Linked DNA regions of Daphnia pulex. The protein of the gene in region 1 purifies or fractionates together with the protein of each later gene. This does not show direct contact. Links are inferred from orthologs where the notes say so. Each region holds a gene or a part of one and is shown on either strand. Other genes may lie near its edges. The genes, in order: translation initiation factor eIF-2B subunit alpha-like, translation initiation factor eIF-2B subunit gamma-like and translation initiation factor eIF-2B subunit epsilon-like.

What was found.
Region 2: the proteins of translation initiation factor eIF-2B subunit alpha-like (region 1) and translation initiation factor eIF-2B subunit gamma-like purify together in Homo sapiens (affinity purification with mass spectrometry; 7 studies listed by BioGRID and IntAct, counting the BioPlex papers as one, with this or other methods). This does not show direct contact. The link is inferred for Daphnia pulex from reciprocal best matches to the Homo sapiens genes EIF2B1 and EIF2B3.
Region 3: the proteins of translation initiation factor eIF-2B subunit alpha-like (region 1) and translation initiation factor eIF-2B subunit epsilon-like purify together in Homo sapiens (affinity purification with mass spectrometry; 7 studies listed by BioGRID and IntAct, counting the BioPlex papers as one, with this or other methods). This does not show direct contact. The link is inferred for Daphnia pulex from reciprocal best matches to the Homo sapiens genes EIF2B1 and EIF2B5.

Annotation. Positions count from the first base shown.
Region 1 is NC_060023.1:2,530,300-2,534,994, forward strand, and holds translation initiation factor eIF-2B subunit alpha-like, read left to right. Parts: upstream 1-2,275; 5' UTR 2,276-2,626; coding exon 2,627-2,639; intron 2,640-2,698; coding exon 2,699-2,806; intron 2,807-2,874; coding exon 2,875-3,014; intron 3,015-3,078; coding exon 3,079-3,456; intron 3,457-3,515; coding exon 3,516-3,641; intron 3,642-3,701; coding exon 3,702-3,860; 3' UTR 3,861-3,927; downstream 3,928-4,695. Other genes in the region: palmitoyltransferase ZDHHC6-like, read left to right, coding at 286-331, 394-575, 643-727, 783-866, 922-1,001, 1,072-1,212, 1,275-1,490, 1,556-1,746 and 1 more; uncharacterized protein LOC124198557, read left to right, coding at 4,143-4,278, 4,335-4,695.
Region 2 is NC_060019.1:11,425,290-11,430,575, forward strand, and holds translation initiation factor eIF-2B subunit gamma-like, read left to right. Parts: upstream 1-2,466; 5' UTR 2,467-2,581; exon of another isoform or gene 2,582-2,624; intron 2,625-2,785; exon of another isoform or gene 2,786-2,803; 5' UTR 2,804-2,815; coding exon 2,816-2,963; intron 2,964-3,021; coding exon 3,022-3,176; intron 3,177-3,244; coding exon 3,245-3,410; intron 3,411-3,508; coding exon 3,509-3,716; intron 3,717-3,790; coding exon 3,791-3,927; intron 3,928-3,998; coding exon 3,999-4,189; intron 4,190-4,254; coding exon 4,255-4,320; intron 4,321-4,383; coding exon 4,384-4,532; intron 4,533-4,589; coding exon 4,590-4,687; intron 4,688-4,754; coding exon 4,755-4,807; 3' UTR 4,808-4,985; downstream 4,986-5,286. Other genes in the region: vacuolar protein sorting-associated protein 33A-like, read left to right, coding at 418-527, 589-676, 740-844, 912-1,206, 1,279-1,405, 1,467-1,533. UniProt on the Homo sapiens protein: Acts as a component of the translation initiation factor 2B (eIF2B) complex, which catalyzes the exchange of GDP for GTP on the eukaryotic initiation factor 2 (eIF2) complex gamma subunit.
Region 3 is NC_060026.1:13,822,101-13,827,426, reverse strand, and holds translation initiation factor eIF-2B subunit epsilon-like, read right to left. Parts: upstream 3,582-5,326; 5' UTR 3,410-3,581; coding exon 3,272-3,409; intron 3,203-3,271; coding exon 2,886-3,202; intron 2,808-2,885; coding exon 2,633-2,807; intron 2,568-2,632; coding exon 2,326-2,567; intron 2,261-2,325; coding exon 2,138-2,260; intron 2,072-2,137; coding exon 1,918-2,071; intron 1,859-1,917; coding exon 1,666-1,858; intron 1,593-1,665; coding exon 1,362-1,592; intron 1,303-1,361; coding exon 1,130-1,302; intron 1,066-1,129; coding exon 787-1,065; intron 716-786; coding exon 653-715; 3' UTR 570-652; downstream 1-569. Other genes in the region: translocator protein-like, read left to right, coding at 1-7, 79-258; complement component 1 Q subcomponent-binding protein, mitochondrial-like, read right to left, coding at 4,285-4,434, 4,498-4,586, 4,644-4,843, 4,909-5,059, 5,122-5,326. UniProt on the Homo sapiens protein: Acts as a component of the translation initiation factor 2B (eIF2B) complex, which catalyzes the exchange of GDP for GTP on eukaryotic initiation factor 2 (eIF2) gamma subunit.

The DNA.
Region 1 (4,695 bases):
CAACGCAAAATTGCAAAACCCCTGTTTAGCATTTGGCATTGGCAGTAAGCAGTATTATTGACGTCTGCTTGAATGTTTATTTTTGAGTTTGTCTTTGTCATTTAAGGCCTCCTCATTTTGCAAGTGACAAAACTTTACAATTCTAAATTTTTGGTCATAAAATCTCTAATTACAATTTTCTTGTTTAGTGATCCTTCCTGTGAATTTTTGGTAGCCCTTAGCAACAACTCCTGTGAAGTTTTACATAGGTTACTTGAGTGAAGTAACAACTGAGTTGAGTGTGTCATGGGCTGGAGTAACGTAATTCACATAGGACCGCTTTTTACTATCGGTAGAACTTCTGTTGAGGATCAATAAGCTTTACTGTTGTTTTTATAACCATTTCTCTCACAGGTGTAATTAAATCTATTGTTTGGTCAACAATTCATTGCAACTCCATGTGGTGGCCTCCTTACCACTCTTGGCCTGGATTTATAAATGCTGCTATTTTTCTCTCATTAAGTGCATCAACATTCTACAATTTTCTATATTCACTACATGTTGGTCCAGGATACTTACCTCTAAACTGGAAACCGGTAAAATTTGTTTAGTTTGAATAGGTTTAACAGTTTTAAGATCAACTAACACATTGTACTTATTTAGACCAGGGAAGAGGATACTCAGTTTTTACAGTACTGCACTGTGTGCCAAGGATACAAAGCACCAAGATCTCATCACTGTAGAAAATGTATCCCAATAAAAATAATTACTCTTCTGTTTGATGACAAATTCCTCTTTCACAGGCAATAGATGTATTATGAAACGTGATCATCACTGCATATTTATAAATAACTGCCTTGGACATTTCAATCACACCAACTTTCTTGGTAATAATACCTAATCATTCATATTATGTTTCATAAATCACCATTGTTTCGTTAGCATTCCTCATTTCCGCTGTTATTGGATGCGCCCAAGCCATCGTAATAATTTCATGCACCATGTACAGAGCTCTTCACCCGGTTGGCTAAATCTAAAATTTGTATGCTTGTTACAAACAATTTAAAAACGAATCATATTGTTTAAAAATAGACATTTGATTACTACGACCATTCAAATCTACGAGAAGTGCCTTTTATAATATTGGGACTATGGCCTTTTGTGATGAGTCTGATTTCCTTAGGATTAGCAGCCGGAGTAGTGTTTGCTGTTGGTTTTCTATTTTTTGTCCAGGTTTGAATTTCTTTGGATTATATGTTCTTTATTTAACCTAAAAGTGATTGATTCTTTCATAGATGAAAGTGGTTTTAAGAAATCAAACAGGCATTGAAGACTGGGTTCATGAAAAAGCTGTTTATCGTCGAGAAGGAACCGATGAACCCTCTTTCATTCACCCCTACAATTTAGGATGGCGAAAGAATCTGGTTGAAGTAATAAATTTCTCTTTCCAGCCTAAAGGTGATGGCATCGAGTGGAAAGTCCGGGACAATTGCCATCCATACGCTTTCACGGTATAATCCTATGCATAGTTCTATAGATTTTCTACCTTTTATAGCTATTTATTCATTTTTGACAGATTGAACAAATTGAACAGAAAAAGATTAAAAGGGAACGCTGCGTAGAATACGTAGTAGAGAAAGCATACAGTGGAAGGTGGTTCCCTATTATTAGTTTCGGCATTATGGTTTGTCTTCAGCCACCATACACCGACGAGACACGCATCTCTCTGCAGATTGGAGATAAGGTGGCGGTTACTCGATGGAAAAAGTATGATAAAAACAACTTCCAACAAGAAATTTTTGCCTTTCAAAACTTTTATAATTGTCCTTTAATCAGATATTGGCTTTACGGCGAAATTCAAGAAAGGGGTCAAGTTCAAATGAATCCAACTGAGCGCCGAGCACTGCGCGGTTGGTTTCCTCGTACATCCTGCTCTCCTTCCTATGTGGAATATGAAAAAGAGGAATGATTGTTTAAATTAGTTTAATTGAATGGATAAGACAACAAAAAGTTCCAATAATCTTACTTTTATTTACACACCACTTTGTTTTGAAGCAAAGCACCTAAAATTGCACCTTGTCTAAAATGTTTCGGGTGGTTTTCATCTGACAAATTCACAAAATCTTGAAATAAACTATGGTTAAAAAAATAAAAAAAAAAATGCAAAATGAACGTTTATTTCACTTTCGACAGATATCTCGTGCGCCGTGCGGTCGTCGCTCGTCGGTCGTGCTACCGGTGCTACCCTACCCGTACCTGTGTGCATGCACGATGAAGAATGGCAACGTTGACGACGACATTTTTGTTTTTAACGCGGAATGTGAAAAGAATAGAATGACTTAAGTATTCTTCTTTCATCAAACGATAACAGCAGTTTATGAATGTTTGCGGTTGCGTGTGACATAATGGACATATCAATCTAGGGCTCTCGGCAGATCCTTCCCTGGGACTAATCGGTGAGGGCCAATCAGAAACAAGTACAGTACTCAAGTGTTTTGACTGACTGGAGTGTTGACTTTTCATTGTGTCGTCTGCTGCTGGAACGGTGGCAAGCTGGCAAGCTGCTGTGCTGCTCTTCTAGCTGAAACTCCAAGTTAAGTAGAGAGGAAAAAAGTTTACTAGTGCGCAAAAAAGATATAAGTATAAAATGGAAAATACAAGTAGGTTTAGTTATTAAATAATGTTAATAAAAAAACTAATGTAATCAATGTGCTTTTAGGAAATGTATTGGATTTTTTCCAAAAAATTGTGAAAGAAGAGCCGGATGTTTCAGCAGCTGTTGCAGCTATCCGCACATTAATGAATATATTGGAAAACTTTGGTGATGGTTAGTAAAAACAAAATAATATCTATAAGCATAATCATTATCAACATTAAAGACTATCATATTCACAGGTGAAACTCTTCGTGGATTGTCGGAAGAACTGAGAAAAGCAACAGAAGAAATGAAGAAAGCTGAATGCTCAATTACATCAGTTCAATCAGGCTGTGAACTGTTTCAACGGTTTATCACACTTACTTCTCTTGAACAATCAGTATGTTGTCTATAAATATGAATCATAAATTTTTAATAGATTTAAAATAAAACATTCTTTTTAGAATTTCAAAGATTGCAAGGAGATTATGAAGAAACGAGGAGAAATTTTTCTAAGGAAATTACAAGAGGCTAGACCTAAAATTGCAAGACTAGGGGCTCCTTTTATTCTTGATGGACACAAAATCCTCACTCACTCCAAATCAAGAGTGGTTCTACAAACACTAGTTGAAGCAGCTGTTATATCCAAAAAACGTTTCCATGTTTTCATCACTGAATCTCACCCGGATCTAAGTGGTGTCGCTATGAGAGACGAGCTATTGAAACACAGTATTGGTTCGACTCTCATTTTGGATTCGGCCATGGGTTATGTCATGGAATCAGTGGATTTAGTGCTTGTTGGAGCTGAAGGTGTTGTTGAAAGCGGAGGCATTATCAATAAGGTACGGATAAAATATATTTATTTGACTATTTAAAAAAATTGAAAAATTTATTGAAATAGATTGGAACATATACTATGGCGCTGTGTGCCAAGGAAATGCACAAACCCTTTTACGTTCTCGCTGAGAGCTTCAAATTTGTCCGTCTCTACCCGCTGAACCAACGCGATTTACCCCAAGAACTGAAAGTATGTTAAATTTTTTAACCAATTTTCCATAATGCTGAAACTTGTGTTGAATTTTTTTAGTTCTCGTCAACTATTATTGAATCCAATCATTCTAATCTTCTCGATCAGCATCCTCAAGTTGATTACACGCCACCAGGATATTTGACTTTGCTTTTCACAGATTTGGGAATTCTCACTCCATCAGCCGTCAGTGATGAATTAATTAAACTTTATCTATGAAAGAGAGTCGTCTAAATATAAAAACATCGATAAATGTGTAAATAAAATACACGTTCATGTCACTTTTTTTGTGATTTTAGACATTTTCCTGCGCGTGTGGAAAATATAACATGCAGTAAGGTCATCTGTCGCAAGGTGGCGTTTCGAACGATGCACTTCAAATTGGAAACCGTTGAAGTTGTTAGCGTTGGTGCTAATTTAGCTCTAACTTTTTAACAATCAAAATTAGGGAATAATAACAAAGTTTAATTGAGACAACTACAGAAAACTGTGAGGAAAAAGATGTTAAATGAGCCAAATAAAGACCACATTCCGGAGAAATTTCCAAGAGAAAGAAACAACATTGATGACTTCATAAAGAGGAGACCAAGTCTTAACAGAAGTATTACTGGTGGTGGTTCTGGTTCAACTTTTCGAGGTAATGAAATGTTGTGGATATTGTTTGTCAATTTGTTCACTATGAAGTTTTTACAGCTGCTTGTGCTGCGGTAGACTCATCCCTACCTCCTTCTGGGAAGAAACATAAAATAACAGAACTATGTCTGAATCATACCCTGAAGGAAATGAAGTTTAATGCCTTAGAAAAAGAGCAAGATGCTGTTGCTGCCTATTCAGAAAGGCTACGGGATAACATTGAAGACATTCTAAACAAAGTTCTAGTTTCTACTGGAGATAAAGCTCATCAGAAATTTGAGAAACGAACAAGATCAGCCACAAAACAACTGAAGAATGAGAAGTTGCTGTGGAATGAAGAATACAAAAAGAGAAGAGAAGCCTATTTAGATGCAAAGAGTAAGCTTAAAGATGTCTTGAAGGGAAGAGTGCAAATTGAAAC
Region 2 (5,286 bases), on another chromosome or scaffold:
TATGTATCGTCCTCACCTAAATTTGGATGTGCACGTGTCTGTTTCAGAAAGAAAGTTAAGGACAGGAGAAGATGAGCATTGGTGATACTAAATTTTATTTTATTTTATGCGGATTTAGTCATTAGCTTTTTGTGACTTAGGACAACCACAAAATCCATTAGGTTGTCTGTTGACAGTCTGTTGATGTCTTGTTCAGTAAAAATAAATTTCGTCAACAGTTTTGTTATTGTTACAGGATATTGTTTCTCTTTTAGAGAAGTTCAGTGGAACAAAGGTATTTTGGTGTGTGCTATTCCATTTAAGAAATGTACGTAAATTCATCAATTATGCTAGGCAATATTTTGGGATGAACAACTCACTGGCCCCATTGGTTTGGTGGCAGAATACAGTTTTCTTAAGGAACTAGATGTTGTAAAAATGTTTCAGTTAAAACCTGGGCGCTTGCCTTCCATATCTGTTAAAAATATGCTGTTCATCACAAGACCTGAAGTTGAGCTGATGGATTGTATTGCCGATAACTTGCACAGGTATGAATAATCTACATATTTTAACTTTAAATAGTCAACAATAAGTTAATTTACATTTCAGCGAAGAAAGCCAAGGACATTCTGCTAGTAAGGAATATCAGTTAATTTTTGTCTCCCGACGAAGTGCAGTATGTGAACAGCGGCTCAAGGTTGGTTAAAGTTACTTAAATCAGCGAAGAAGAAATTGTTGACAAAATTATTACTTCATTTAGGACAAAGGAGTGTATGGAACTCTTACTTCTATTGATGAACTGCCTGCTGATTTTTTCCCACTAGATAGTGATGTCATTTCAATGGAACTCGATAATGTTTTCAAGGTATTTATTTATGAGCCAAACTTTGAAAGGGATTGCTTGTCATCAATTTCTTCAAATTTATTCTCAGGATTTATATGTTGACAATGAAATCAGCTCCTTACACCAAATTGCTCATGGGTTAATGTCCCTCCAAAGTTTATATGGCATTTTCCCCAACGTTGTGGGTAAGGGGCGCCATGCCCGTAACGTATTCGAATTGATGACTCGAATGCGACGTGATATTGGGGTAGACTGTGATCCCCCCATGTCTCCGTTGTTCGACACTCTCATGATCATTGATAGGACTGTAGATTTGATAACTCCTGTTGTCACTCAGTTGACCTATGAGGGTCTTATCGACGAATTCCATGGAATAAAACATAGTAAGAAAGTATTGTTAGCTTCTGAGTAAAACAATTATTTTACTTGCATTTTGTGGTTTCATTGTTATTTAGATACAGTCAAGCTTCCAGGAGAAAATTTTCAAGCCTCATCAAATGCGGGCCAGTCACCTCGCTCTGATGGTAGCTCTGTTAAATCTGTTGTTCTAAACTCGGCCGAAGAGCTTTACGCTGATTTGAGGTGAAATTTTTAATCAGACAAATTTTGCTTCCGACAGTTTTAAAGTTATTTATTTTCGCAGGGACAAGAACTTTTCAGCCGTGGGTACTGCACTCAGTCGCAAAGCTAAAGCTATTTCAGCTCAGTAGCCTGGATAACGCCATTGTTGCATTTGGAGGTGTTAAGGTTTCTGCATTCGCACGCGATAGTGGAGAAATATTCCTAGACTCCTTCGATGATTCGGTAATCATGGTTAGTTTAAACTCAATAATATTTCTCCAGCAGTTTTTTTCATCGGGATTTTTTTTTCTTGTGTATTCTCTTTAGATCAACCCGGATATACCTGATGAAAGGGAGCTGAGGGAGTGGCTTAAAGACAATCAGTAAACAAATCCTTTTTTACTGATTGTCTGAAGATCTTAATTACTTGACGTCCTTAAACATCGACTGCAGCTAATTGCCTCCATCTTTTTTCTCGAATTGTTGCCTCCATCTGTTTCCCTGAATTGTTGCCTTGCCTCAAACTTTTTTCCTAAAATATGGCTTCGATCTTGTAACCTGAACTGTTGCCTTTTTACCTCAGCCCTTGTGATGGAGAAATTGGGCCACTGTCTGAGTTTAACTCAAGAATTTCGTAAAATGATAAATGATAAAATAATAATAAATTTATTTCGTAAATGATAAAGAAAAAAAATCCAGGAAATTACAATAAACAAAATCTTACGAAATTCCTACATTTTAATTGTTTTGAAAATATAAGCAAAAGCTTTTAACTGATATCTTGCACGTTAATACCCGAGGGCGAACCTGGAAGGGTCTTGTTTCGTTATTTCTGATCTTACTTAACACATTTTTAGATATCGACAAAAATAAATCGTGGCTTAAAATTTGTATATTTTATCGGAGTAGAAGGAGGAGGAGCTTATTTGTTGGTAATTCAAGCAAGTCTAATAAGTAATAAGTCGCAGGATCCTGAAAAAAGGATAATAAACCGTGAATAATTGCAAATTGGCTCCTCCCTCTTTGTGGGCGGAGTTAAGCTTTCCATGGAGGTGTTTCCACGATTTTGGCCAAACCGCCTCAAACCCGCATCGTGCCCGCATTTTACCCACTGCATTTTGAGAATTTGAGCTAGTGTTTTAGTGTTTTGCTGTTTACAGCTGTTTACGAAACGTGTTTAATTTTGTCTACCGTGAGGTTAAATATCTGCTATTATTTTATTACGATTCATTAAATTAAGGTACCCGTACATACTTTCCGTTTGGTTCGATTTTTTTTAGTTAGAAATGTTTGTGTTGTGCGTTTCTGTAACACCGTTTGTGTTACCTTTCCATGTGCTAACAGATACAAAACGCATCATCCTTTTATTTTCTAATTCTCTCTATGTTTGCTATTTATTAGTTTATATTTGTATTCTAGTGTTCTTTAATCATGGAGTACCAAGCAGTAATAATGGCTGCTGGAAGGGGTTCACGTATGACAGATTTAACTCATGACCGTCCCAAGTGTCTATTACCAATATGCAACAGACCAATGATATGGTTTTCATTAAAAATGTTGGAAAATGCTGGTTTTGAAGGTATTTCAGTTTTTGTTTTGAATAAAGTTACTTTTATGTGACAAGGACTACTTTTTAGATGTCATAGTTGTTATCCATGAACAGTTTCGAGCTGAAGTTGCAGCTATTCCAAGCAAGTATGGTTTGAACATCAAACTGGATATAGCATGTCTTCCAAAAAATGAAGACTTTGGAACAGCTGATTCTCTTAGACTAGTCAAAGACCGAATCAAGGTATAAATCTTTAATAATGCAAGATTTTTATCACATATACTATACCTTTAAATCCAATCGAATTGCAGACTGATGTCCTGGTCATTAGTTGTGACTTGGTATGTGATATACCATTGCACAATGTGTTTGACTTACACAGAACTCATCAATCAAGTGTGACTGCACTTTTTAGCCAGTCCTCTCCAGAAGTAATGTCAACTGCAGTGCCTGGTCCCAAAACAAAATTCAAGCAAGGTATATCTTTCAGCATTCACTAGATTACTTTTAATAACAAAAAATGTATGATAGTATATTCATCAAATAATAATATAAAACTTCCCTTAAAATTTTAGAAAGGGACTTGGTTGGATTGGATCTGCAAACACCTCGTCTGGTTTTCTTAGTCTCAGAAGCAGATTTGACTTCAGAAAACGAGGAGGAACTCTCAATCCGAAAATCAGTGATGAAACATTTCCCACAGATAAGTGTTCAAGGTAACTTGCTTGACGCTCATCTCTACGTTATTAAGAAATGGGTCTGTGATTACATTGCCGAAAACCGGTAAGTCACACCGTTATTTAAATATATTACGCGTTAATGGATAAATCATAAAAACAAACAATTTTTTAACATAGGTCATTCACTATGCTGAAGGGTGAGGTCTTGCCTCATCTTGTGCGAAAACAGTTTATAAAAACTCAAAGGAAAAAAAACGAAAAAGAACTCCCCAATGCGGATGTCTCGGTCGTTTCTTTAAATACTACAAATCGAGGCACTATAAATAGAATTTGAAATCTCTACGTCTAAAGTCTAAATAGTATTATAATTTCTTTTTTTGTAAAGATATTTGCAGCTTCCTTGTTGATGTCGAAGAGGAAGAGAAAATCAGGAGCTACTCTGTTTGGAATGATCATCGTGGTGATTTGCGTGGCCCGTACCAAGACCATAATATCCGCTGTTTCGCTTATGTGGCCAAGGAAGGCTTTTGTCTACGTGCAAACTCGCTGAGCAACTATTGTGAGCTCAACCGACAAGTAAAGAAAGAAATTGTTAACTAGAATCGATCGACGATATTATTATTATTTAAAATGAAATTTAGGTTATTAAAAGATGGAATACAATGTTTCCTGATGAGGAAATCACACCACCCGTATCCAAAGCACAAGTAACGAAGACCCTTATAACTTTTAAATGTTGGATAAACATTATAACATTTTTTATAATATAGGTGGGAACTGATTGCCTTATTGGTGAAACGAGTCAGTTATCGGACAAGTGCTCTATTAAGCATTCGGTTATTGGTCAAGGTTGCAATATTGGAGAAAAAGTTAGGATTACCAATTGTATCATCATGGATAACGTTACGATCATGAAAGAGTAAGATGAGATTATTTATTTTTCTGCTACAACGTATATGAATTGTCTTCTTTTTAGAACAACTCTTCAAGGCAGCATTCTGATGGATAATTCGGTAATTGAGAATAGTTGCGATTTAAAAGACTGCATAGTGGGACATACCGTACATAGCAACTGTAAGTTATACTTTAAATGATAAACAGAAAAGGTTGCCATTCTCACGTTTCAATTCTTCGCACTTAGGCAAATCTACCAACGAAGTTTTGGTTGATGCTGATCGGCTCTTGGAAATATGAGTTTAAGTTATTTGAGATGTTTTTCTCAAATAACTAACTAATAAGTGGTGATAATCCTTCGGGCGATACCTTACAATTGAAAGGCGCTGTTTGCGTGGGCCGTTGGTATGCCTAAATTGCGAGACATCTCCTTGAATTTTGGTTGAAAGTATACAAACAATAAAATTTGCTAATTACATATCTAGTAATATTTTTTTAATTACGATTAAACTTGAACTGAAGAAGATGTATTAAAATTGTGCATCTAGTGATACATCCTTTTTTAACCGCGAAGCAGAAAAAATCTAACCCGAAGCTGAACGAGAATTTGTTTTTATTTCTTATTTAATGTTCTCGGTTGGTTCAACTTTTTCTTCTTAAAAAATAACGACGTCTATTTATTTACTTAAATCCGGATCGTCTATAGGCGTATAAGAATACCGCGACATGATTTAGATACAACTAACTATTTTTTAAATCTATGCGTAGTGTCTGTTTAC
Region 3 (5,326 bases), on another chromosome or scaffold:
GGAATGGGTATTTATTCAATTTAAAAGTATTAAAAAAAAAAGAGTTTTAGTTTTTGTTACCGACTTATCTATTTCCAGGCATTCTACGAAGTCATCGCTCTGCTTATCGGCATCGCTTCTTGTGTCTACACTTTTAAATCTGTCAACGAAACGGCTTCTTACTTGATGATGCCCTACTTGGTCTGGGTGAGCTTCGCTTCGCTACTCACCTTCACCATTTGGAGAATGAATTTACCAGCAAACAAGAAAAAGATTTAAATGGATAATCGTTTGGTTTGGATTGCTTTCTTTCCATCCCACATTCCAACGTCTTCATTTGATGAGCATTTCCATTTACCGGTTAATCACAAAATTTCTCAAATAAATGCATCCGTTAAAATAATTTTGTACGTCCTTTTTCTTTACGATTTAACCCATTTGGAACTACGAAAGGATTTTCAAAATTGGTTTCTTTCACGACATGAACTGAATCGGTTACTCTTAAATACGCCACCATTACACTTATTACTTATGTGACCAACGCCTGTAATTTTCAATGGTTATCCAAGTAAATGTGAAGTAGTGACATATAAATTGTGAAAAAAGATATACTTCAATAAATTCGATATTTGTTACAGCTCTCAGAAACCAGGACAAATTCAAGTGCGACTTATCAATCCGATTCCTCCGATGATTCCTCTTCCGCTTCTTCCAGCCATGTAATAAATGGTTCCACCTGTTTCAAAACACAAACAAGTTAATAACAGGCCAAGGATCAAGTCAACTTTTCAAGAAATTAAGACGTACAGTTTTCCGGATAGTTTTCAATGCACTGGGATCGTTCGGTGGATTGGTGTACCACTCCAAAATTGCGTCCTCACTCAACACGTCCTCGCCGTACAAAAAATGGAGAACTTTACAAATAGATTTCACAAAATGGGAGTTATGAACTCCAAATTCTTCCAGAGCCTCGAGAGAATCCAACATCGACTGATTGTTTTTCAAGTAATTTCTCATGACAGGAAGAAAGTGCTGCAATATCGGCCTTAGAGCGACCCAATCTTCGTTGGTGCCAGTGGCGGCCTTCTGTAAAAGCCAACCAAATTTCAATCAAACATCTAATACAAAAAGATTCGCCGTTAAAGTTTACCTTAGTCATGACGGATGGCAACGAAAGCATAGCTTTGATAACGAGCATGTTCACCTCTTTCATGGTAACGTTATAAGCGTATTTGGACGAGTTAATTTCAAGAACCAAGTTGTCACCCTTGATTTTTTCTTCGTAGCCTCTTTGAAGACTCTCCAAGACTTCATTATAAAATGCTATAGAAAAATTCAACAAATTAGTAAATTAATTTTTTAGGTTCACATAGGCAACTTACATCTAGCATTCATATCCTCTGGCAGGTCGCCCACGTCCACTTCTTCTTCGTGTTCTTCATCTTCGTCGTTATCAGCTTCGTCTTCGTCTTCATCTTCTTCACTTTCTGAATCTTCATCAATGTCCAAGCCCCATAATTCATCAATCAAAGACTCTGCATCGGAATCTTCTTCGACGGGTCGTTGATAAACGTAAGCGACACTATCGGCACTAAACGGTTTAGCTACCTTATCTAAAAGGGGAAACAAAAATACCAATGTAACTATATTTAAATTAATAGACATACGTATTCAAGTTTGCATTACCATCTTCTTCGTCCGATGTTTCAAAGTCGTTATCACATTTGGGAGGATGGGCCATGAGGCGAGTATTGTCAGGGATTTTGGTACCGGCAGCTAAAACTACTCCGGGTCCAATGACACAGCCTCGGCCGATTTTGACTCCTTCATTTAACACAACACCATCGGCGATGAGAGCTACTTCAATGTGGCAGTTGTTCTAATTAAAAGCAAATTGTTTGATTATTTATCAAAAATAAAATTTTCGCTGGGTCTAACCTTGATGTTAACATCGTCCCAAATATAAGCATTATTGATGTACACGTCGTTTCCGATTGTGCAACGGCTGCCAATGACGGACTGGGTGACGAATGTGCGTTCTCCTATTTTAGAGTTTTCTCCTACCGCCACGTCCCTTTCCAAAACACTTTCCCTATTTCGCAAATAGGGTGTTATCATGGTAACATGGAAATAAAAAAGAGAAAAGGTTATTGTGTACTTGGCCAAGGTGACACCAGGCTGCTTGTAAACATTGTGACGTGATAAAGTGTGTCGAGGAGTTGTTTCACTCCGATTCAAATCGGGAACAAGCGGAAATGCCCATCGTTGAATAACATCTTTGCTGTAAAAATAAACATTTTCGTTACTTGATGAGTAGAATTTAAAATGTTGGAAAGTGTTCCTTACCTCACAGCATCATACATGGGAACGTTCGAAACATGTGCCGCGTATGATCCTTCCAACTGATGGTAGTAGATGGTATTATTAAGAATTTCTTCGTTGATGAGAATACCTCGGACAAAATCTCCCCACGTTTGGTAATCGAAATTGTCGGAAAAAAGCGGCAAAACCACGGGAGAACAAATAGAAATGTGCGTATCAACCAAATCATAGCGCAAATCAACAAGACCGTGCTCTTTAAACATTTCCTGTAGATTTGATATGAAAATCAATAAGAATCGTTGGTTTCGAAACACTGAAAGCAGAAACTCACCAAAGGAAAACTGAGCTTCTTCAGGTTTGTTGTTTGCTGGTAATTGAGAATACGACCGTTGGTGGGATTGATGGCTAAGACGAGTTCTTCTTCTGCAGAACGGGATCGATGACCCGGGAAAGATTTCTTAAAAATGTGTGTCATGACAATCCCTTTATCAGTTTTCCTCTTTTCTCTATTAAAGAGTGCATGAAATCAAAATAAAAACTTGATATGGATTTGATTACAACTTTATAGAGATGTTACAATTTACCTGTGCTCTTCTAATATGGGTATGAGCTGTACATTAGAAATGACATCAGCAGACATCAATATAAAGTCTCCTCTTATCAATGACTTTCCATCTATGTCTCGAAGGGAATCTCCAAGAGATCGACAGTCATCAGGGCTTTGAGAAATAACTTCAATGGACATAGGAGACACAGATCTCATCCATTTAGATTCTTTGAGGTACTGACGAATTTGATCAGCATGTGCAACACAGTAAACAAAGGTTTTCTGTACTCCACTAAGAAGTAGAGATTCCAAGGCATAGTCAATCATGGGCCTATTGACCAGCGGAAGAAGTGCCTGATGTAATAATAGTTAAACAGTTATATGTGTCCTCAACGTTAAAAAATCTAATTGTAGGATCTTCACCTTCGGTTTTGAATCAGTTACAGGTGCGAAGCGTATTGAAAAACTATCAGCGATTAGAACAGCAAGAACAACATCTTCTTGTTTAAGAACTTCAGAACCGGACTTGGACATTGATTTGGAAGTTTTATTGGAGCTCATTCTTTAATTCAGTATTTCAATTCTCTTGTGGCAAAGAAAAGTATTTCTTATAATTTACAACAGCTGTAATAAATAGTGTCCACATGTGAGCTCGTCCAAATTCAAGGAATTGCAGGAAGGGAATGGGATTATGGTAATGAGAAATGATGCAAAATATTGTCTGCTACAAAAGTTACTTTCTTTCGCCGCTAGGCTATCTCAATGGAGCAGACGATCGAATCAAAGTACACATGATTTGATAATGCTGTAAACTACCTAGTACATAATATGTTTTGAGGACCGGTTTTAATTGAAATTACAACCGTGTTGAATAAATTTTCAATCAAGAAAAGTGCTCTAATTTGTTAATGATCTCTGCTTATCCTGCCCAATCTTCATCTACAGTTCAAAGGTACAAGTGTGGGACACACAAAGCTCTTAAAGTATGTTAATTGATTATTGTATTTTTATTTTTCTAGGTTAAATTTGTACCATGAATAGTGTAAGTGAAGCCTGTAGCCAATTGAAGCAAAATTATGATGCATGTTTCAACACATGGTTCACAGAAAAATTCTTAAGAGGGGATCATTCAACAGACTCATGTGGTCCTTTCTTTAAGGTGTATCGTGAATGTGTTAGGGTAAGTTAATTTTGGTCCAACATTTCTGTCTTTTATAGATGTTTATCTACTCTTTTCTGTTTTAGAAAGCAATCCAGGAACAGAATATTGACCTTAAAGAAATAGAAAAAGAAGTAATGGGGACTGAAAATGAATTTAAGACCCCTGATGGTTCTAAATAACCATTGTTTTGGAAAACCATAAATAATAAATCAGCATTTTAAACAAAATGACTACATAGCTTTTTATTTTTCATCTCAAAACTATTCTAAACCTTTCATTTGCCTTGGACAAAAGACTGAAGGCTCTCTAACAAATTAATAAATAGATGGTGTTCCCGCTTGGTAGCTAGATCGCTCAGCTTTTCAGCAAATTCGTTGGATACTCCTCGTTCTTCGAGCAGATTCATCAGAAGGTCGTACATGTACTATAACGAAAATGTGAAATATCAGTTTAATTTGGTTAAAATATTGTTGACTTTAAAATATACCCCATCAAGAATGTCTCCAGCGACAGCATAAGTCTGATCATTATGTTTGTCCTCATATACTGCAAGTTCATCAATAGTGAAAATGTCATCTGAAAAAATCGAGTGTTATTTATATTGTTGGCTATTCAAATACAATTAACACTTACTTGGGGCATCTTCAACAGGCTCTCCTGCATCTTGAATGTAACTGCAGGCAAATCTGGTTACTTGATTTCCCTTCATTAGTTTGACTTCAAAGTGTGGTTTTGATTTCATTTCAGCCTGGGGAGGATTGTCAGCTTTGTTGTCAACTTCCTCACTGATGTCAGCATCAACAGAATGGTTGACGTTAACTGTTATCTCAATTCTGTTTAATGAATAAAATTAAGCCACAAGTTTCAATTTAGAATTGTCCCATAAAGATTTACTCACTGTTCATCATTAAATTTCTTAGACAATACTATCTCTGAACCATTGTGTTTAACATCAAATCCATCCAAGTTAGCGACAGGCCTGGCTTTGCTCATTCCCTTCTTCTCAGCAGCAATTTCCTCTGAGAGGAACTCAATCAGCTCTTTGTCCCCTATGATGCAACATATATTATGCTGTATTTAAATGTGACGTGAAATGGTTAAAATGTATTACCTCTTGTATGAACTCCTCTGCATTCTCCACATGGGCAGGAAGGGCTCAGGGGAGTATGTTTGAATGCTGGAGAAAGTTTTGTTGGGACAAATTGATTTGTGGGATTAGACATGTACCACAAAGACCTGGTAATGGGTTTCGACAGGATAGACCTCATGGACGCCGGTAACGCATGGCGTGAAACGTTTCGAACGACATTTATCAC